Linked DNA regions of Ovis aries. The protein of the gene in region 2 interacts with the protein of the main gene of each other region in a pairwise test. Links are inferred from orthologs where the notes say so. Each region holds a gene or a part of one and is shown on either strand. Other genes may lie near its edges.

Region 1 (3,753 bases), on a different chromosome or scaffold from region 2:
CCTGGACTGGCAGGCAGGTACAGAAATAACTCAAATGTCCATCTACAGATGAACTGATAGACAAAATATGGTATATTCATACCATGGAATGTTAGCCTTAAAAAGGAAGGAAATTCTGACACATGCAAAAATGTGGATAAACTGTGACAACATTATGCTAAGTAAAATAAGCCCATCATAAAAGGACAAAAAGTGTATAATTTCACTTTTATGAGGTACCTAGAGTAGCTAAAGTCACAGAGACAGAAATTAGAATGATGACTGGGGGTTGAGGGGAGAAATGAGTTACTGTTAATGGGTACAGAATTACAGTTTAGGAAGATGAAAAAGCTCCGGAGATGGACAGTAGTGGAAACTGCACAACAACGTGAATGTACTAATGATACTTAGCTGTACACTTAAAAATGGTTAAAATAGTAAATTTTATGTATATTTTACCACATACAAAAAAAAGGCCAAAGCTGTCCTCTGTTACTCAATCTTTATTGCACTGATTAAAGGAGATCTTTTTAGATGCTATAAAAATACATACCTTTCTATAAAACAGTGCTAAGGACCCAGTTCTCTTTGGTTTGCTTATTCCAACTGGATGTACCTCTTGTGCTTTGGTCAAATGGGTCTGCTTTGGAGAAGCACCAATTAATGACTGAGCTGTAAGTGATACAGGACTCTCAACTTTGGACTCCTGAGTTGTATTCATGGAAATTGGTATCAGTGTGATCTCTCCAGCATCATTTGCAATACCTGAATGTACAAGCAAGAGTTCTTAGTTTTAGAAATGTGTCCCAGAAAAGTTATCAATACTTCTTTCTTCGCTCATTCCTCCCTCCCTCCCTCTTCTTGTTTACTATCTATCTGTGCATAGTAATGGTAGAAGAAGAAAGCCACAAAAATAGTAATTCTAGGTTATAATATTTTTGTTTTCTATTTCTGCTCTGAAACAATAATACTGTTCTCTTTGGTGGTCTAAGGGAGATGTTTTTAACCATTAAACAAAATTCTTGCTCAACGCACTCATTTGTAAAACTCAGGTAAGAAACTAACTCCTAACAGAGTAGTAAATCCATAAAATATGAAAATTCAAAAAACTGTGCAGGTATACCTCAGAGATATTAAGAGTTTGGTTCCAGAGAACCACAATAAAGTGAATATCATAATAAAATGATTCACATGAATTTTTTGGTTTCCAAGGCATATAAAAATTATGCTTTTGCTATACTGCAGTCTATGGGGTGTGTTATGGGCATTATGTTCAAAAAAGTGTATGTACCTCAGTTAAAAAATACTTTGTTGCTAAGAAGATACTAATCATCACCCAGCAACACAAGGTTGCCACAAATCCAATTTGTAGAAAAAAAAGTTATCTGTAAAGTTCAATAAAGCAAAGTGCAATAAAATGAGGAAAGCCTCTATACATTCAAAACAAAACTAAAGGGGGAGTGCTGAGGAGCTTTAGGGCAGTGTTACTATTCTGTATAACAGTATAATGGTAGATATGTGTCATTAGACATTTGCAAAATTCATAGAATGTACAACACCGAGAGTGAACACTAATGTAAACTATGGACTTAAAGTGATAATGATGTGACAATGAAGGTTCATCAGTTGTAATACATGAGCTAGTCTGGTGCAGGATACTGATGGCAAGAAAGACTCAATTTTGCCATGAACCTAAAACTACTCCTAGAGGAAAAAGAGTACAGGTCCGGGAGAAAATACAGGAGTAATAAGACCATGTGATATAATTCAATAAGACATTTCTTAAATTTTTATTCATTTCAAAAAAAAATAAATGCATCAAAATATTACCATGCAATGGGACTGTAACTTTATGTCCTGTTGTCCCTGTTACTATGGCTGTGGCCATTGTTAGAAGACTGTGCCCGGGTGAAATTGATATATTTTCAGCAGTGATGCTTGAAGAAGGAGCAATTTTCAATTTTGTTCCTTCTGTTATGATCCTGTCCATAAGCATTTCCTTTGGGGGGTCTTCCCCAAAAAGTCTTCTCTTAGCACTCCCAGCAGTAGGAGAACTGTAGCGTTCATGGACAGAAATCGGAGACAATGGTTGCATATCTAATAAAGAGAAAAATTTTAACAGTCTGACTTGTATTTCAAACAGACACAATCAGGTTTACTCACTCGTTCAACAGATGCTGAGTTGTGTTACACTGTGTGCTCAATCGCTTCAGTCGTGTCTGACTCTTTGCAACCCTATGGGCTGTAGTCTGCCAGGCTCCGCTATCCATGGGATTTTCCTGGCAAGATTTCTGGAGTGGACTGCCATGCCCTCCTCCAAGGATCTTCCCGACCCAGGGACTGAACCTGCATTTTCTGTGTCTCCTGCACTGCAGGTGGATTCTTTAACAGAGCCAACAGGAAAGCCCTAGATACTGAGTTACTATGCTAAAATAACAGCCTTTGTCCTCATGCAATATCGAATCTAGTGGGAGAGAGAAGAATGAAATAAATCTTAAAATAAAATTACAATAGCTAACCTTCCTGGTTTCTTGAACCTCTGCCTACGTTAAAGAACCAAAATATTATGGGGAAAGTAGAAGCTGAGAGGTAGAATGCAGTGACTGTTAAATTAGAAAAGTAGTCCAACTAACTTCTGTCTCCTCCCGATAAAAAGGAAAAATCAGTGATTTGGTTCACAATTTTCTCTCTTCCCACACATCTACACGTCAAACAGTTTAAGGCAATAGCTTTGGCTTTCTGATTTAGCAGACACAGAACCATCTTTTACAAACCCACTAGAAGATGAATAGAAGTGTTATGACGCTTAATTTGAGGCATTAGCGTGTAACAGACATGTCATCTATTTTCAAAACATGTTTATAAGGTATAAAAATTACCTCTGGCAATAATTTGACAACTCTGTATTTCTGAGGTAACTGGGGAAATAGTTATGGTTTAATAAAAATCTCTTCTTAATTCTGGGGGTTATGAAAGCAGCTCTGACTTGCAGCCTTAGCAAACAAGTGGGAAGTTCTATTGTAGCCCATTACTCCTTAACAGAAGTCTACCTTTATGTCTTATTTCTAAGAAAACCAATGTAGTCCTTGAAGCTAACTAGGAATGTTCAGAGCTGACATTTCAAGGGGGAAAATGCATGTTATAACCACCAAGTTAGCTGCAAACCCCTTGAAATGATTCTTTGCCTAGCACAGTACTGGAAAAGCTTCAGTAGACATTCAATAAAAATTTAGTAACTATACAAATTAATAAACTGTCTTTTCCCCACTAGAGTCAAGGCTCAATATTATTGTTTTCTAAGGATTTTCTATTATTTGATTCTCTTGCATGAACCCCTACAAGAAAATAATTTTCTTCTAATTATAAAAATAATATATTACCTGAATGCTCACATCAGTGATATTCATAAAAGCCAACAGGTAGAAATAACACAAACGCCCATCAGCTAAATTCCTACTTTCTCTTTTGTACTAGGAGTTGAACTTAATCTCACTTCACTGCAAAATCCTACTGCCATATAATAGGGAAGAACCTTTATTATAGGTTAGTCACTAAAGAGATGTTGCCTATAAGCTTAAATTATCCATAATGGCCCATCTCTGGGAACCCTGCCTCTCAGGTAATGCATATTAAGCTCAAAAACCTTTGCTCAGGGCTTCCTAGGTGGCTCAGTATTGAAAGAATCCGCCTGCCAATGAAGGAGACATAAGAGAGGCTGGTTTGATTCCTGGGTCAGGAATATCCCCTGTAGGAGGAAATGGCAACCACTCCAGT
Region 2 (4,431 bases):
TCAAGTTAAAAACACTTAAAGCATTTTTGAGTGCTTGTGTACAAAGTGCTGTATTAAGATATCGCCCTTTATATAACAGGTTCTCTCACCTTTAAGATGGGTTTTGAGTCCTGTAATCCTGGGCTTCATATACTTTTTGGAATGTTTTTGTCAGTTCTAACCAAATTTTAGAAGTACAACCTTCTTAGGCAAATCCTAAACTGTATCCATGTAAGAGTGACTAAAACAATACAAAAATACATATATACTTATACACATACTAAGAAAATAAACAGTTGAAACAGTATAAAGTAATAATAAGTTAAAAAATGACAGCACTATCCACAAATAATCTGGATAAAGATGGAGTAATATGAGATACTCATCAGTTTGATACAACATTTTGTGTTGGTCTTATGAGATTAGGGTTTGAAGAGGTAGTCATCTTGCTTACCAATGGCAATCCCATAAATTTGACTACTATACCAAAAAAGTTCAGGGGCAGTAATTAAATAGATTAAAATACAAAAGCAAAGAGTTTCTTGGTTCAGCAGATACTCCTTAACATAATTTATACAATTTTACCTTTTTATGAATCTTTTAGAACACAGAGTAGATTTTATGTAGTATTCAGAAGAATCATTGTAGAGTGCTGAAAAAATATTAGTCTGGGCTGGTATCAGGAAGCTGGGATGGTCTAGTACCACCTCTACCCTTAGACTATGTTATTCAGCTACATTTTGGGGCTTTTCATTCAACTAAAAAGTGAATTCATCAGTTATTCTTAAAGAGTCCTTCTAGCTCAGAAATGTCATGATTCTAAGCGCTTTTGATAGGAAACCCATGAATACATTCAGGAAAGAAGAAGGTTATAGGTGTTAAGAAAGCTAGCATGGTTGACAAGAAGAGTCATTGTGTGAAATTGTGTGGCCAGCAGTAAAGATAAAGAAATGCATCCCCAGCTAGACTTAGAGAGTAAAAAGGTTATTAAATGACTAGAACAGTTTTTGACCTAGGACCTCAGATAATGCAGGGCTATATAAAATATAGATGCATACACAGATTCCTAATTTGATTGATAAATCTGTATATCCTTAATTTTAATCAAAGTTATCACAATGTATCAATATTTTAAAGGAATCAATTTATGGAAAATATATAAAAGTCATATTTAATAGGAAATCATAGATTTGAAACTAAAAATTTCATTAAGTGAAAACTGAAGACTCCCTCTCCAAAATGTAGCATTAGACTTGAAATTTTACCCACAAATTTTGTATGAAATATATATCTACTTCCTAAATAGCTTTCCTCAAAACCATAAACATAAAAAATACCTAGTAAATAAGGTGGAATCCCAAATCACGTTTATCTTTAAAGAATAAGCTCTGTATTATAAATATAGTAAGATTTAAAAATTTTAAGTTACTAGGTATTTACCAGAAACAGTGTAAGTATACGCTATTGACATATATCTATATTTAGCCTGAAAACTAATTTTAAAGAGAAAAATTCAATCAACTGAAATTTTTGATCCATATTTTCTTCAAAAATTGTCATACTATAGTTTATGCTGAATAAAATTAATTTTTTGCTTTGCTGAATCAGCACATTCCTTTTGCAGATTCAACATTACATAGCTTTTTATAAATTCAGCTGAATATCAGAAGCTTTATGCAGAATTGCCTTGGAGTAGGCAAGCATCTAAAAGGTTTCCCTGCAAAAACTGAATCTCATCTGAACATTTACTCACTTAAAAAAAAAATTCTTTAGTATCATCTTGAGGAAACTCTTAAAGCCTTTGAATTTGAAAATAATGACAAAGTGAAGACTCTAAAGGGACAGTGAAAAGAATGCATCAGTCTTGCTCAGTTCAAAGTGAGTCATATGATGATCTGCAGATAGTCTTTGAGAGGAAAGTATTTAAATCTATTTTTTAAAGTAATTTTTAATTCTACAATAAAGTTCATATTTCAGCTGTTATATTAAATTGCCCAGAAGATGTGTGCATTCAGTTCAATCTAATACTAATAACTAAGGAGTAGGTTGGTATGCCAACATAAATCTAAAGGGATTGGTAACTTTCATTTTAAATAACACAAATTACTAAGATAAATTAATTGGATCAATGAAAAAGAGAGGTAAAATAATTATTTTAAAATATAAACTAAAAGAAGATCTAAATATTCTTTAACCTAAAAAGGTTTTCAGACCTAATAGACATGACAAAACCTGTCTTCATTCCTTTCTATTCAGCTCAGCAAGTGCTTTTGAGCTCCAATAGTTAATCAGTTACCAGATTCCACAGTCTTTGTTTTTCGCACTCCTCACTTGCTGTGAATTGTTCTTTTAATGTGCTGAGGATCACCAAGAAGAATAACACTGTTTTTTTTTTTAATGCCTTAAAAAGGCAGTCATTATTTTATCCACAATTAGATTTGCCATATAAAATGTTACCATATAGCAACAGCCTGTAAAACATAATAGTATATTATCAAAGGAGTAGATGGCTTAAGATGAATCATTACATTAATAGGTGAAATATATTTAGCAAAATTATTCAACCCAGTTTTCTTAATGACCATAGCCATGCATGACTTACCAAAAAAGTATAGAAAAGTATATTATATGCCAAGTAATCTTTATTCAAACAAATCAATGAAAATATATGTATGCAAGTACTATAAAACAACATTTAAGCAAATTTATATAAAAGAGGCAATGCAGGTATTGCCATGTTAAAAAGATATCATCTTAAACTTAATTTCTTAACCTTCTAAAAGTACATAGAAAATTGAGAAAGATAAAAAAATATATTAACTTACCCTTCAATTTATTTAGAAAACTTCTGCTCTTGGTCAAAAGCAGGTGTTTCACTGCGGACTTTCCCTGAAGCTATGAACTTACACAGTAATCAGTGGGAGACACCTCTCTGGACCATGCTAGAGTCTGCTAGACACCACTGCTGTGTGGAAGAGTTCTGCTGCATCTAAGCTATATAAGGTGTGCAATGGATAACCTAATCTGCCTTTCATTTAACTGGCTGGGCAGGTTTCTGCCGTCTGTGGAACATGGAATCAAACCAGAATATGTTGGCACAACAGGCCAGTCAGACCGGTTCTTCTGTAGATCCAGAACCTGTCCAACCAGTCTGCATCAAAGGCTAGCCCAACAAGCTGCAGCGGCTCAGCTCTGCTAAGCTCATACAGGTGAGTTATCCCCACCTCCCGTCAACTCCCAACATACTGCTCAGAATGTTGTAGCCTGCAGCAAAATAATTCAGAGTCCCAGTGGGAGGGGAAGATCTGTGTCAGGTACAGCAAGAGTCCATTGTTACAAACCTCTCATTGTAGATAACTTGAGTATATCTCATCCTCAGAGGTAGGTAATCCTTTTTTAAAATTTACTTCAAGGCTCTTCGGACTAAAGCCTCTAGAAAGAGATTACAGTGAAGAAGAATCCATAATGCCTGGCCTTTCCACCGGTCCACTTGGTCTAGCTCAGCCTTGAGGGGGTGTTTGTATTCCCCACGAGGGCAGTGGCCCTGAGAGTTTGAAGGAAGCATTTCTAGAGGGAGGAAAACAAGCTGTGGGTGGACCCAACATTTGCTTGGGGTGTTACCTTCCTTGTACTCAAAGAGCCTCATACCATTCCAGTCTAAAGTTGGAAAAACTCCTGTTCTATGTACTGGGACAACTTAGAGAGGATTTTCTTTGGATAGTCAACAGTGGAATGCAAATTCTTGATAACTACTATGTGCCAGACTGTGCCAGGTCCAGGGTTACAATGGCGAAAAAGGACAAATTTGGTAAGAGATGGGGAAAATGTCCAGGTTCCCAGTGAAGCTTGTCTGTTGGTCCTTTGGGGGGAGGAAGTAAGCAACATCACTTCCAAGATCACAAGTTGTTTTAACTTTTCATGGGCTTCCCCAGTGGCTCAGTGGTAAATCTGCTTGCAATGCAGGAGATGCGGATTCAATCCCTGGGTCAGGAAGATCCCTAGAAAAGGAAACGGCAATCAATTCTAATATTCTTGCCAGGAAAATTTCACGGACAGAGGAGCCTGGCAGGCTACAGTCCATGGGGTCACAAAGAATCAGACACAACTTAGTGACTAAACAATAACAACATAACCAATCAACAATGTGATAGTTTCAGGTGGACAGCAGTGTGACTCAGCTATACATATACATGTATCCATTCTCCCCCAAACTCCCCTCCCATCCAAGCTGCCATAGAATGTTAAGCAGATTTCCCTGCGCTGTACAGTAGGTCTTTGTTAGTTATCCATTTTAAATACTGCAAAGTGTACATGTCCATCCCAAAGTCCCTAGCTATCCTATCCCCTCAGTCTTCCACCCTGGTAACTGTTAGTTTGTTCTGAGTCTGTTTCTATTTTGTAATTAAGTTCATTTGTACACAAGATCACATTTTGACAGAAATTGGTTTGTAT
Region 3 (4,445 bases), on a different chromosome or scaffold from region 2:
TAACTTATATGCAGAGTACATCATGAGAAACGCTGGCCTGGGAGAAACACAAGCTGGAATCAAGATTGCTGGGAGAAATATCAATAACCTCACATATGCAGATGACACCACCCTTATGGCAGAAAGTGAAGAGGAACTAAAAAGCCTCTTGATCAAAGTCAAAGAGGAGAGTGAAAAAGTTAACTTAAAGCTCAACATTCAGAAAATGAAGATCATGGCATCTGGTCCCAATCACTTCATGGGAGATAGATGGGGAAACAGTGGAAACAGTGGCAGACTTTATTTTGGGGGCTCCAAAATCACTGCAGATGGTGACTGCAGCCATGAAGTTAAAAGATGCTTACTCCTTGGAAGGAAAGTTATGACCAACCTACAGCATATTGAAAAGCAGAGACATTACTTTGCCAACAAAGGTCCGTCTAGTCAAGGCTATGGTTTTTCCTATGGTCATGTATGGATGTGAGAATTGGACTGTGAAGAAAGCTGAGTGCCGAAGAATTGATGCTTTTGAACTGTGGCGTTGGAGAAGACTCTTGAGAGTCCCTTGGACTGCAAGGAGATCCAACCAGTCCATTCTAAAGGAGATCAGTCCTGGGTGTTCATTGGAAGGAATGATGCTAAAGCTGAAACTCCAGTACTTTGGCCACCTCATGCAAAGAGTTGACTCATCGGAAAAAGACTGGTGCTGGGTGGGATTGGGGGGCAGGAGGGGAAGGGGACAACAGAGGATGAGATGGCTGGATGGCATCACTGACTCGATGGACGTGAGTCTGAGTGAACTCCGGGAGTTGGTGACGGACAGGGAAGCCTGGCGTGCTGCGATTCATGGGGTCGCAAAGAGTCGGACACGACTGAGCGACTGAACTGAACTGAACCATCTATTATTTGTCACTTGTTTATATAACCCCGGGCTTCCTATGACTTAACCACTGTGAGTTAAACATAAAAAGTGTATAATTATGCTTTTTCTATTTAATTTACAAGGTTACCCTGAGGGTAAAATAAGAGCTTATTTGGAGGCACTTATGCCCATCACCAAAAATAGTCCTTCTCTTTTGTCACAGGAACCACTAGGAAATAAACAATAACATGAGTGAACTCCGGAGTTGGTGATGGACAGGGAGGCCTGGCATGCTGCGATTGATGGGGTCGCAAAGAGTCGGACACAACTGAGTGACTGAACAGAACTGAACTGACCTGACCTATTCAGTCATATCACCTAAGCATGTGAAAGAGCTTTGTAAATTCTAAAGCAGTCTCCATGAATGCTTTACGCTCCAGAAATTCCACATTACCTTACTTAACCTTCAGAACAGCTGTGTAAAGTAGGTACACATACCTCAAATTGACATATCACAAAACTGAGTTTGGAGTGGTTAAGTAAATTGCCCGAAGTCACCAAGGCCTGTCAGGTTCTAAAGCCAGTACATATCTAGCTACCCTCCCCCACTCTAGATGTAACTAAATTAAAATTATATTAATGCAAGAATAAGAAATAATAGGAATAAATTTAGTGAGTGCCACACAGGCAAAAACACCGTATTACAGTTAAAACACATCTGTTAGCCTTCCCATTCTGAGCCTATTTGCCCTACTCTTTCCACAAACTATTAAACAACTTCAGAAAATCATATGGCTTGCAGTTTAAATATCACTCCCATGGGGCAGTTAGACAGCGGATAAACAATACACACTTCCGTGTCACTTCCCATTGGCCCGTAAAGGGGAGGTGCCTACAGAGTTGAACCTCACTGGCTAGAATGGCCATTTTTCTTAATTGCAAGCCCCGTCCGAAGAAAGGGACAAAACATGTCCAGATGACAGCGACTCTTAAGAATCCTGTGCAGTGTCTGGGGTGACCAATAAGTCCTCAAGATCGCCGCAGTCCTGACTTCCTAGAGACAGATAAGAGTCTATATCCAGGTAGGCAGAAAGCCCGTTTCATCCGCTCACGGGAAGATTCTTCTTTGTTTACAAATACACAAACACAGCCCGAAACGTAATGCATTTACTCAAATGGCAATGCCTGGACCAAAGGCAATTAGGTACAGCTTGCAAAGAACTTGAGGAGAAGCCTGGAAACGCAGACGCTAAAATCGGGTTAATTTCAGTGCTAGCGCAGGCAAGCCCCACACCCCCATCCCTTTTGAGTACGGTCCTGACAACTGCACCTGTTCAGTCTGCCAACCAGATGGCTGTATTTTTGTAATCAGACCCCAGCACGACCTCAGCCTCGAGGTGCTAATTCAGGGCAAAGGCTGTTCCCCCTTCGGAACCGGAGAGGGAAGAGCACCGAGACAGGGTTCACTTTTAGGACAGCTAAGGGCTTTTCAAAAGCCAGGTTTCCAGGACGAAAGTGGGCAGAAAGGACTCCCTTCCCGCTCCAGGCTGGGGACCGGGAGAGCCGGGGCTGACCTGGGGAGCTCCCCCGCGGGGCTCCCGAGCCGGAGAGAGAAGGGCCCCCATCCCCCGCGGCGGGGCGGGACCGCTAGGCCCCGAAAACCGCTGGTCTCCTTTCCCCGGCGCACCTCCAGCGTGTAGCTCTCGCTCATGCTCCGGTAGCTCTCCCAGGCCTCGGCCCGCGCCGCCTCGTCCATGTTCAGGCGGCTGCACAGCTCGTCAAACCGCTGCTGGGTCTGAGGGGCCGGCGACCGGGCCGGCTGCGCGGCGTCCTCCGCCTCGCCATCGTCCTCCTCCTCCTCATCTGAGGCCGCCGCCGCCGGAGGGGGAGGCGGGGGCGGCGGCGACTGGTCGCCTCCCGACGGCATAGCGTACACCTGTGCGGCAGGTCCTCAGGTGAGCCGAGGGCCCGGGCCCACAGCCATTCAAACCGCGAAGCGCCCGCCGGTCGGCCGCCCTCTCGGCGACTGCGCCGCCGCCAACGGCGCTGGACCTCAAGCCGGCACCCGTAGTTCGGAGCACGGCCTGGTGGGAGATGTAGTCCAGGCCGGAGACCCACGGGGATCAAAAATCATATTTAAAAAAAGTCATCTCGCGTCCTCTCCCTTGGCCTGAGGTAAAACCGGCTTCTCTGCATTTCAAGTACCTCTTCATCGGGAGACCCATTCAGCAGGATTGTACTGAAGAGAAAGTATCTAAGAAACGTTGACACGTGAAGGTTTAGTGTTCAAAGTGTCCTCAGAAATAATACTTACCACCTGCGTGTCCTAATCTGAAAAACCAAGGTAATAGAAAGGGCCTGTCTGCCTAAATTCAAATTTTGGCATCACTCTTACAAATTCTAGTTCTTTCCTATATTTATTTTTTGTCCGAGCTGCAGTGGTTTGTGATATCTTATTTCCCCGGTCAGGGATTCAACCAGCGCCCCTTTCAATGGAAGCAGAGTCCTAACCAGTTGACCGCCAGGGAATTCTCCTTTTCTGTGTTTTAATTTTATGTGAGACTTTCAAAAAATTGATTGATTTTTTTAAAGGAGTAATTAATTTTCCCCCCATAGGGTGAATTTACATTTACCCCTAAGTGACATATTTGTTCTGTTCTCAAAACTTCATTTTTCTTTGCTTTCTCTTCAAATCTATATGAATCACATTATTTCCAGTCCGCTTTGGTTTATACAGGAGTATAGTATTAATAAGTAGGAGTATTATTTTGCAACAAAAGTCCATCTAGTCAAAGCTATTTCCAGTAGTCATGTATGGATTTGAGATTTGGACCGTAAAGAAAGCTGAGCACCGAAGAACTGACGCTTTTGAACTGTGGTGTTGGAGAAGACTCTTGAGAGTCTGTTGGACTGCAAGGAGATCAAACCAGTCAATCCTAAAAGAAATCAACCCTGAATTTTCATTGGAAGGACTGATGTTGAAGATGAAGTTCCCATACTTTGGCTATCTGATGAGAAGGGATGACTCATTGGAAAAGATCCTGATACTGGGAAAGATTGAAGGCAGGAGAAGAAGGGGACAACAGAGGATGAGATGGTTGGATGGCATCACTGACTCAATGGACATGAGTTTGAGTAAGCTCCAGGAGTTGGTGGTGGACAGGGAGGCCTGGCATGCTGCAGTCCATGGGGTCACAAAGAGTCAGACATGACTGAGCGAATGAACTGAACTGATAGTATAAAACGTTTTCCTGCTCCAGGAGCCCAAGGCACTGCTGTTTTGCTATGAGGTCACTTTTCTCTCTCTTCATTTGACCCTTTGAACACAGCCACCTTACTGCAAGGAAGCCCAGGTCACTTAGGGTAGCCTATTATCAAAGATAGATTAAAGCCATAGACATCAGTGAAAACGATGAAAACATTTTATCCCATCACTCCTGACAGTAGGGGAAAGAGCCAGGCTCAGTCATGGTTTGTGTGGAGAAGACTAGGGGTTTAAAGGGAAAATGAAATAGTAGAGGTGGGGGAAGAGAGAAGAGCTCAACCAAAACTGTTAAGAGGGTTAATGAGTATAAATATAATTAGGGCAGCTGGGCCTGCTAGC
Region 4 (4,454 bases), on a different chromosome or scaffold from region 2:
AGACTGAACTTAGGCAGAACTTGTTGTTGAGTAGGCCAATAATGGCTAACCCCTTTTCACATTCTGGAATACACCATAATATACACAGAAAATGATAATCCATTGTATGGCCCACAGGGATAAACCCAAGAGCTACCACTTGCCTGAAGGCATTGGCTGCCTCAGCCCTGCTCAGCTGTTCCAAGGATGAGGGAATTCACGTCAGAACACAGCTGTATTTTATTCATAGCACCTCAGTTGGGAAGCTCCTAGCGGGCAACCCACAGCATCTGCCAGTGATACAAAAGCAGATACTCAAACTAGGCAATCTATTAGCATAAGTAAATACCAAGAGACAGGAGACACAGTTTCTAAGTCAATGTTTGGCCATAGTAATTCCTGCAAACTCTTTTCTGGTGTCTTTGTGCCTTGCACATGCTATTTCTCTCTTCTTGGTGTTTTCTTTAACACAACGTATTGGCTCAGACGGTAAAGCGTCTGTCTACAACGCGGGAGCCCTGGGTTCGATCCCTGGGTTGGGAAGATCCTCTGGAAAAGGAAATGGCAATCCACTCCAGTACTATTGCCTGGAAAATCCCATGGACAGAGGAGCCTGGTAGGCTACAGTCCATGGGGTTGCAAAGAGTCGGACACGACTGAGCGACTTCACTTCACTAATGGATAAGTAGAGTCACATATATCTCAGTTCAAAACCTCTACCACCCATCGGCTGTGTGTGTTTGTGTGTGTGTGTGTGTGTGTGTAAGTAACTCAGTCGTATCTGATTCTTTGCGACCCCATGGACTATAGCCTGTCAGTCCATGGAATTCTCCAGGCCAGAATACTGGAGTACTGGGCAAATGAATTAACTCCTCTGAGCCTGTCTTCCCTATCCAAAGTGTAATACGACTACAACTCATTTTAAAGGGCTGTTTCTGAGGATTCGGTAAGATAATGAGATAAAATGGCCAGAACAATCCCCTGTGCACATAGTAAGTCCTCCTTAGATGTGAAGTCCGTCTGGCAAACTTCTACTCAAATGCCCCTGCTCCTCTGAAGATGTCCTTAAGGCGTTTCGATGGTGCTTCCTGGTTTTACGCTACTATTAAAACCGCGCAGCACCTTGTCATCAGTTCTTTGCCCGCAGCCCCCACCCCTCTTCCCTCAAAGAACTCTCAAAAGGCCAGTTTCGTCGTCCCGTACTTGGTCTCCGCTGGTAGTGGGCAAAACCCAGCTCCTCATAGGTGTCCCAGAGGCAGTTTGTTTTTGTTTTGGCTGACTTCGCTTAACGGATTGGGCGGGAGGAGCGCGGGCGAGCGGGAGGGCGCCGCCCACGGAGGAGAGGGGCGTGCCCGCCCCGGGTGCGCTCGCCCGATACTCCCCGGCGGGGGCCTCGGCCGCAGCCCCGGACCCACCCGGCTATAGCGAGGGAGCCCGCGCGCACCCACCGGGCCGGGTAGCGCCCTTACCCGGCCACCCACGCCCGCAGGGGCGAGTTTCGAGGCGAGGCAGGCTGAGGCGGCGGCGGCGGCCGCTGCCTCCGGGCGGGCGCCTGGGTTGCAGGCCCGGGGCTGCCCGCCCGCCCGGCGCGCGCCTCGCCTCGCCTCGCCCAGCACCCCGGTGCCCTCCCGACGCCGGCGGGCCCGCGAGCCTCGCGGACGTGACGCCGCGGGCGGAAGTGACGTTTTCCCGCGGTTGGACGCGGCGCTCGGTTGCCGGGCGGGGGAGGGCCGGCCCGGTTTTTTTCTCAGGGGAACGTTCAAATTATTTTTGTAACGGGAGTCGGCCGAGGACGGGGCGTGCCCGAGGTGCGCGCGTCCTCTCCCTTCTCCGGCCCCACTCCAGCACCCGCCGGCGCCTGCCCTGCGAGCGCGTCATGCCGCCCAAAACCCCCCGGAGAGCAGCCGCCGCCGCCGCCGCCGCCGCGGAGCCCCCGCCGCCGCCGCCGCCCCCTGAGGAGGACCCCGAGCAGGACAGCGGCTCCGAGGACCTGCCTCTGGCCAGGTGAGCGGGCCGAGCCACCGGCGGCGGGCGGCGAGCGGGGAGGGCGCCCCGAGGCTGCGTCGGCGGCAGCCGCGGCGTCTAGGCGGGGGCGCGTCCCCGCGGGGCGCCGGTCCCGGCGGGAGGACGGTCCCCCCTCTACCACCCCTCGCGGCGGAGCGCCGGGAGGGAGCTGACAGGGGTCTGGGTGCGGGCGCCGCCTGGGAAGGGCGGCCGGGAGGGGGGTCTCGGCTCCAGCTTGACAGGTGTCGGGCGGGTGGGGCTCGGGTCGCTGAGCGAAGTGACAGGTGCCGCCTTTGCTCCGCGAGACGGCCCTGCGCATCCGGCGGGTGTTTCGAGACCCCATCACACGCAAAAGAGGAAAAAAAGAAAAGAACTAACTGGTGTTTGCTGGATAGGTTTTTTTCCCCGTTGAGATTTGTAGTCCTCCAGTGGTCTTTTGACTTTCTCTTTTGGTCTCTAGCGATGCAACAGTTGGAAGTGCCCCCCTCCCCCCACCGCCCCCGGGCGCGCAGCTGTATCTGAAGCCCAGTCCTGGGAGAGACAGTCAGAAAAGCCTTGGGTGCAGCGGCAGAGATGCCCGCGGACGTGAAGGGCAGGGTCCTGGGTGTCGGTTACCCCCCAGGAAGCTCGGCTGAGGCGCCTTGTGGCGTTCTCTTAGAAGGGGCTTTTCGGTCTTGGGGATTCATGGCCATAGGTAGTGACTGGTGGAACGTAACTCTTTAGAAAGAACTCGTACCTGGGCAAAAATATTGTGAGACGTTTAGCCCAAGAGCTTAAAAGTTCCTGAACTTTTCTCTTGTTTTCTAGAACTCTTCTTGCGTATTTTCGTTGGCTTCAGCGTGCCTCGTTATTTCTTCCATTTTGCCTTTCGGCTTTGAGCCAGCAAGGATCCTGGTGTCCTTGTTTTTTTTTGTTTTGTTTTGTTTTGTTTCGTTTGTTGGAGTACAAAACGAGTGTTTTTGTGCTCACGTGGAATTATTTTTCTTCTCGTAAGTGGATTCTAAATTTTAAGCAAGTCTACGATAATGCAGTGGAACTTTGACAGGAAGATAATGTATTGCAACATCTTATTTTTCTTGATTGTGATGCTTTATGGTTAGAACCAAAAATTGAACGAGTATAATTATCCATTATTATTGTCAGAGTTGGCCCTGCTTTGAGACTGCACATCAATTACAGGGAAATGGGACTCCTTTCTGTCTCCCTCCCACAGTCCTAGCCCATCAGCAGGCCCTATTTCTCTCACCTTCCCCTGCGCTAAGAGAATTCGGGACAAATTGTTAAAGATTGGGAAAAGCTTTTGGAAATGGCTTGTGAAAGGCTATTAGAAATTCATATATGACTGTCTTATCAATTAAAAATCATTCTCACTAGTGGGAAAAAAAAAGAAAGCCCAGGGATGTTCTAGGAGAAGACATTAGTTTCTGATTAAACTCTGATATGTCCAGTATTTTCCAGTTTCCTTTTGGTAAGAGCAGTGAAGTCTACTGCAAAGAACCCTGTGTTATCCACAGAGCTCGGAAGCATTCTTGAATATTGTGGAGTAACCAGAAATACTGAAGTTCTGGCCAGCACCTGGGAAAAGAAAGTCTTTTTTCCTTCTATTTTCCAGCATTTCATTTTATATACTTTAAATGATGAAACTATCACAAATTCTTTAAGTCAGAACCATGCAAGATAAAGTCTGTTCTTGATCTATCCTTACCCATAAAATGTGTCCTTATGGGCTATCAAACTACTGGTTAACTACTTAACAAAGATAGAACCACTGCCTGGCAGTCTGAAGCTGAGAACTTTACCTGGGGTGGGTTCAGGGCCCAGTCCAATTGCATTTCCAGTGATGGAGCCCATGCCTACTTTGAGAGTTGAGAGTTTACTTAAGGGAAACAGCACACCATCTTCATTCTTGAGATAACCAAAAGTTAATTATGTTTCAGAGAAGGGTTGGCAGTCTGGAATAGTGCTCAAGGGCAAGGATTATAGAGTTAGATTATTGGGTTTCTATCAGGGTTTCTGACATACTGTTTGTGATTTCAAGTGAGTGCTTTAACTTCTCTGATTTGGTATTTATCTGTAAAACAGGGTAAGAGGACTTACCTAATAGGCTGATGTGGGGATTCAGTCTACCTTCATCTAAGGTACTTTGTCTGGGATCATAATAAATACTAAAAAATTATTAGCGATTCCTTGTACTATTATTATTAGAGGTCAAGTAGACATTAACTGATTGAAAAAGAATTAGCCAAGAAGAGTTTTTTGTCTGCCTGTCTTGGTTAAGGAAAATCAGAAAGAAAGCTTGAATTTAATCATCATCTAAGAACTACTAGTAAGTAGATTAAATAAAACACTGTGAAGGGTAGACTGCATTTTAGCAAAAGTTAATGATATTGAATTGGTTTTGTAATATTATCTATTGCTTTCCTCTTGCTGTTAACCAACCCAACTTTCCCAGTTTTAGCTCTTGTACTTAC

The links.
Region 1: the proteins of RBBP8 (region 2) and RBL1 interact in a two-hybrid assay, tested with the Homo sapiens proteins (2 studies listed by BioGRID and IntAct). The link is inferred for Ovis aries from reciprocal best matches to the Homo sapiens genes RBBP8 and RBL1.
Region 3: the proteins of RBBP8 (region 2) and RBL2 interact in binary tests that used the Homo sapiens proteins (3 or more experiments, as listed by UniProt). The link is inferred for Ovis aries from reciprocal best matches to the Homo sapiens genes RBBP8 and RBL2.
Region 4: the proteins of RBBP8 (region 2) and RB1 interact in a two-hybrid assay, tested with the Homo sapiens proteins (2 studies listed by BioGRID). The link is inferred for Ovis aries from reciprocal best matches to the Homo sapiens genes RBBP8 and RB1.

What each region holds. Positions count from the first base shown.
Region 1 is NC_056066.1:66,021,482-66,025,234, forward strand, and holds part of RBL1 (retinoblastoma-like protein 1), read right to left. Parts: intron 2,077-3,753; coding exon 1,810-2,076; intron 745-1,809; coding exon 533-744; intron 1-532. UniProt on the Homo sapiens protein: Key regulator of entry into cell division. Directly involved in heterochromatin formation by maintaining overall chromatin structure and, in particular, that of constitutive heterochromatin by stabilizing histone methylation.
Region 2 is NC_056076.1:34,018,494-34,022,924, forward strand, and holds the start of RBBP8 (DNA endonuclease RBBP8), read right to left. Parts: upstream 2,971-4,431; 5' UTR 2,805-2,970; intron 1-2,804. UniProt on the Homo sapiens protein: Endonuclease that cooperates with the MRE11-RAD50-NBN (MRN) complex in DNA-end resection, the first step of double-strand break (DSB) repair through the homologous recombination (HR) pathway.
Region 3 is NC_056067.1:21,291,093-21,295,537, reverse strand, and holds the start of RBL2 (retinoblastoma-like protein 2), read right to left. Parts: upstream 2,872-4,445; 5' UTR 2,769-2,871; coding exon 2,529-2,768; intron 1-2,528. UniProt on the Homo sapiens protein: Key regulator of entry into cell division. Directly involved in heterochromatin formation by maintaining overall chromatin structure and, in particular, that of constitutive heterochromatin by stabilizing histone methylation.
Region 4 is NC_056063.1:18,457,697-18,462,150, forward strand, and holds the start of RB1 (retinoblastoma-associated protein), read left to right. Parts: upstream 1-1,653; 5' UTR 1,654-1,855; coding exon 1,856-1,983; intron 1,984-4,454. UniProt on the Homo sapiens protein: Tumor suppressor that is a key regulator of the G1/S transition of the cell cycle. The hypophosphorylated form binds transcription regulators of the E2F family, preventing transcription of E2F-responsive genes.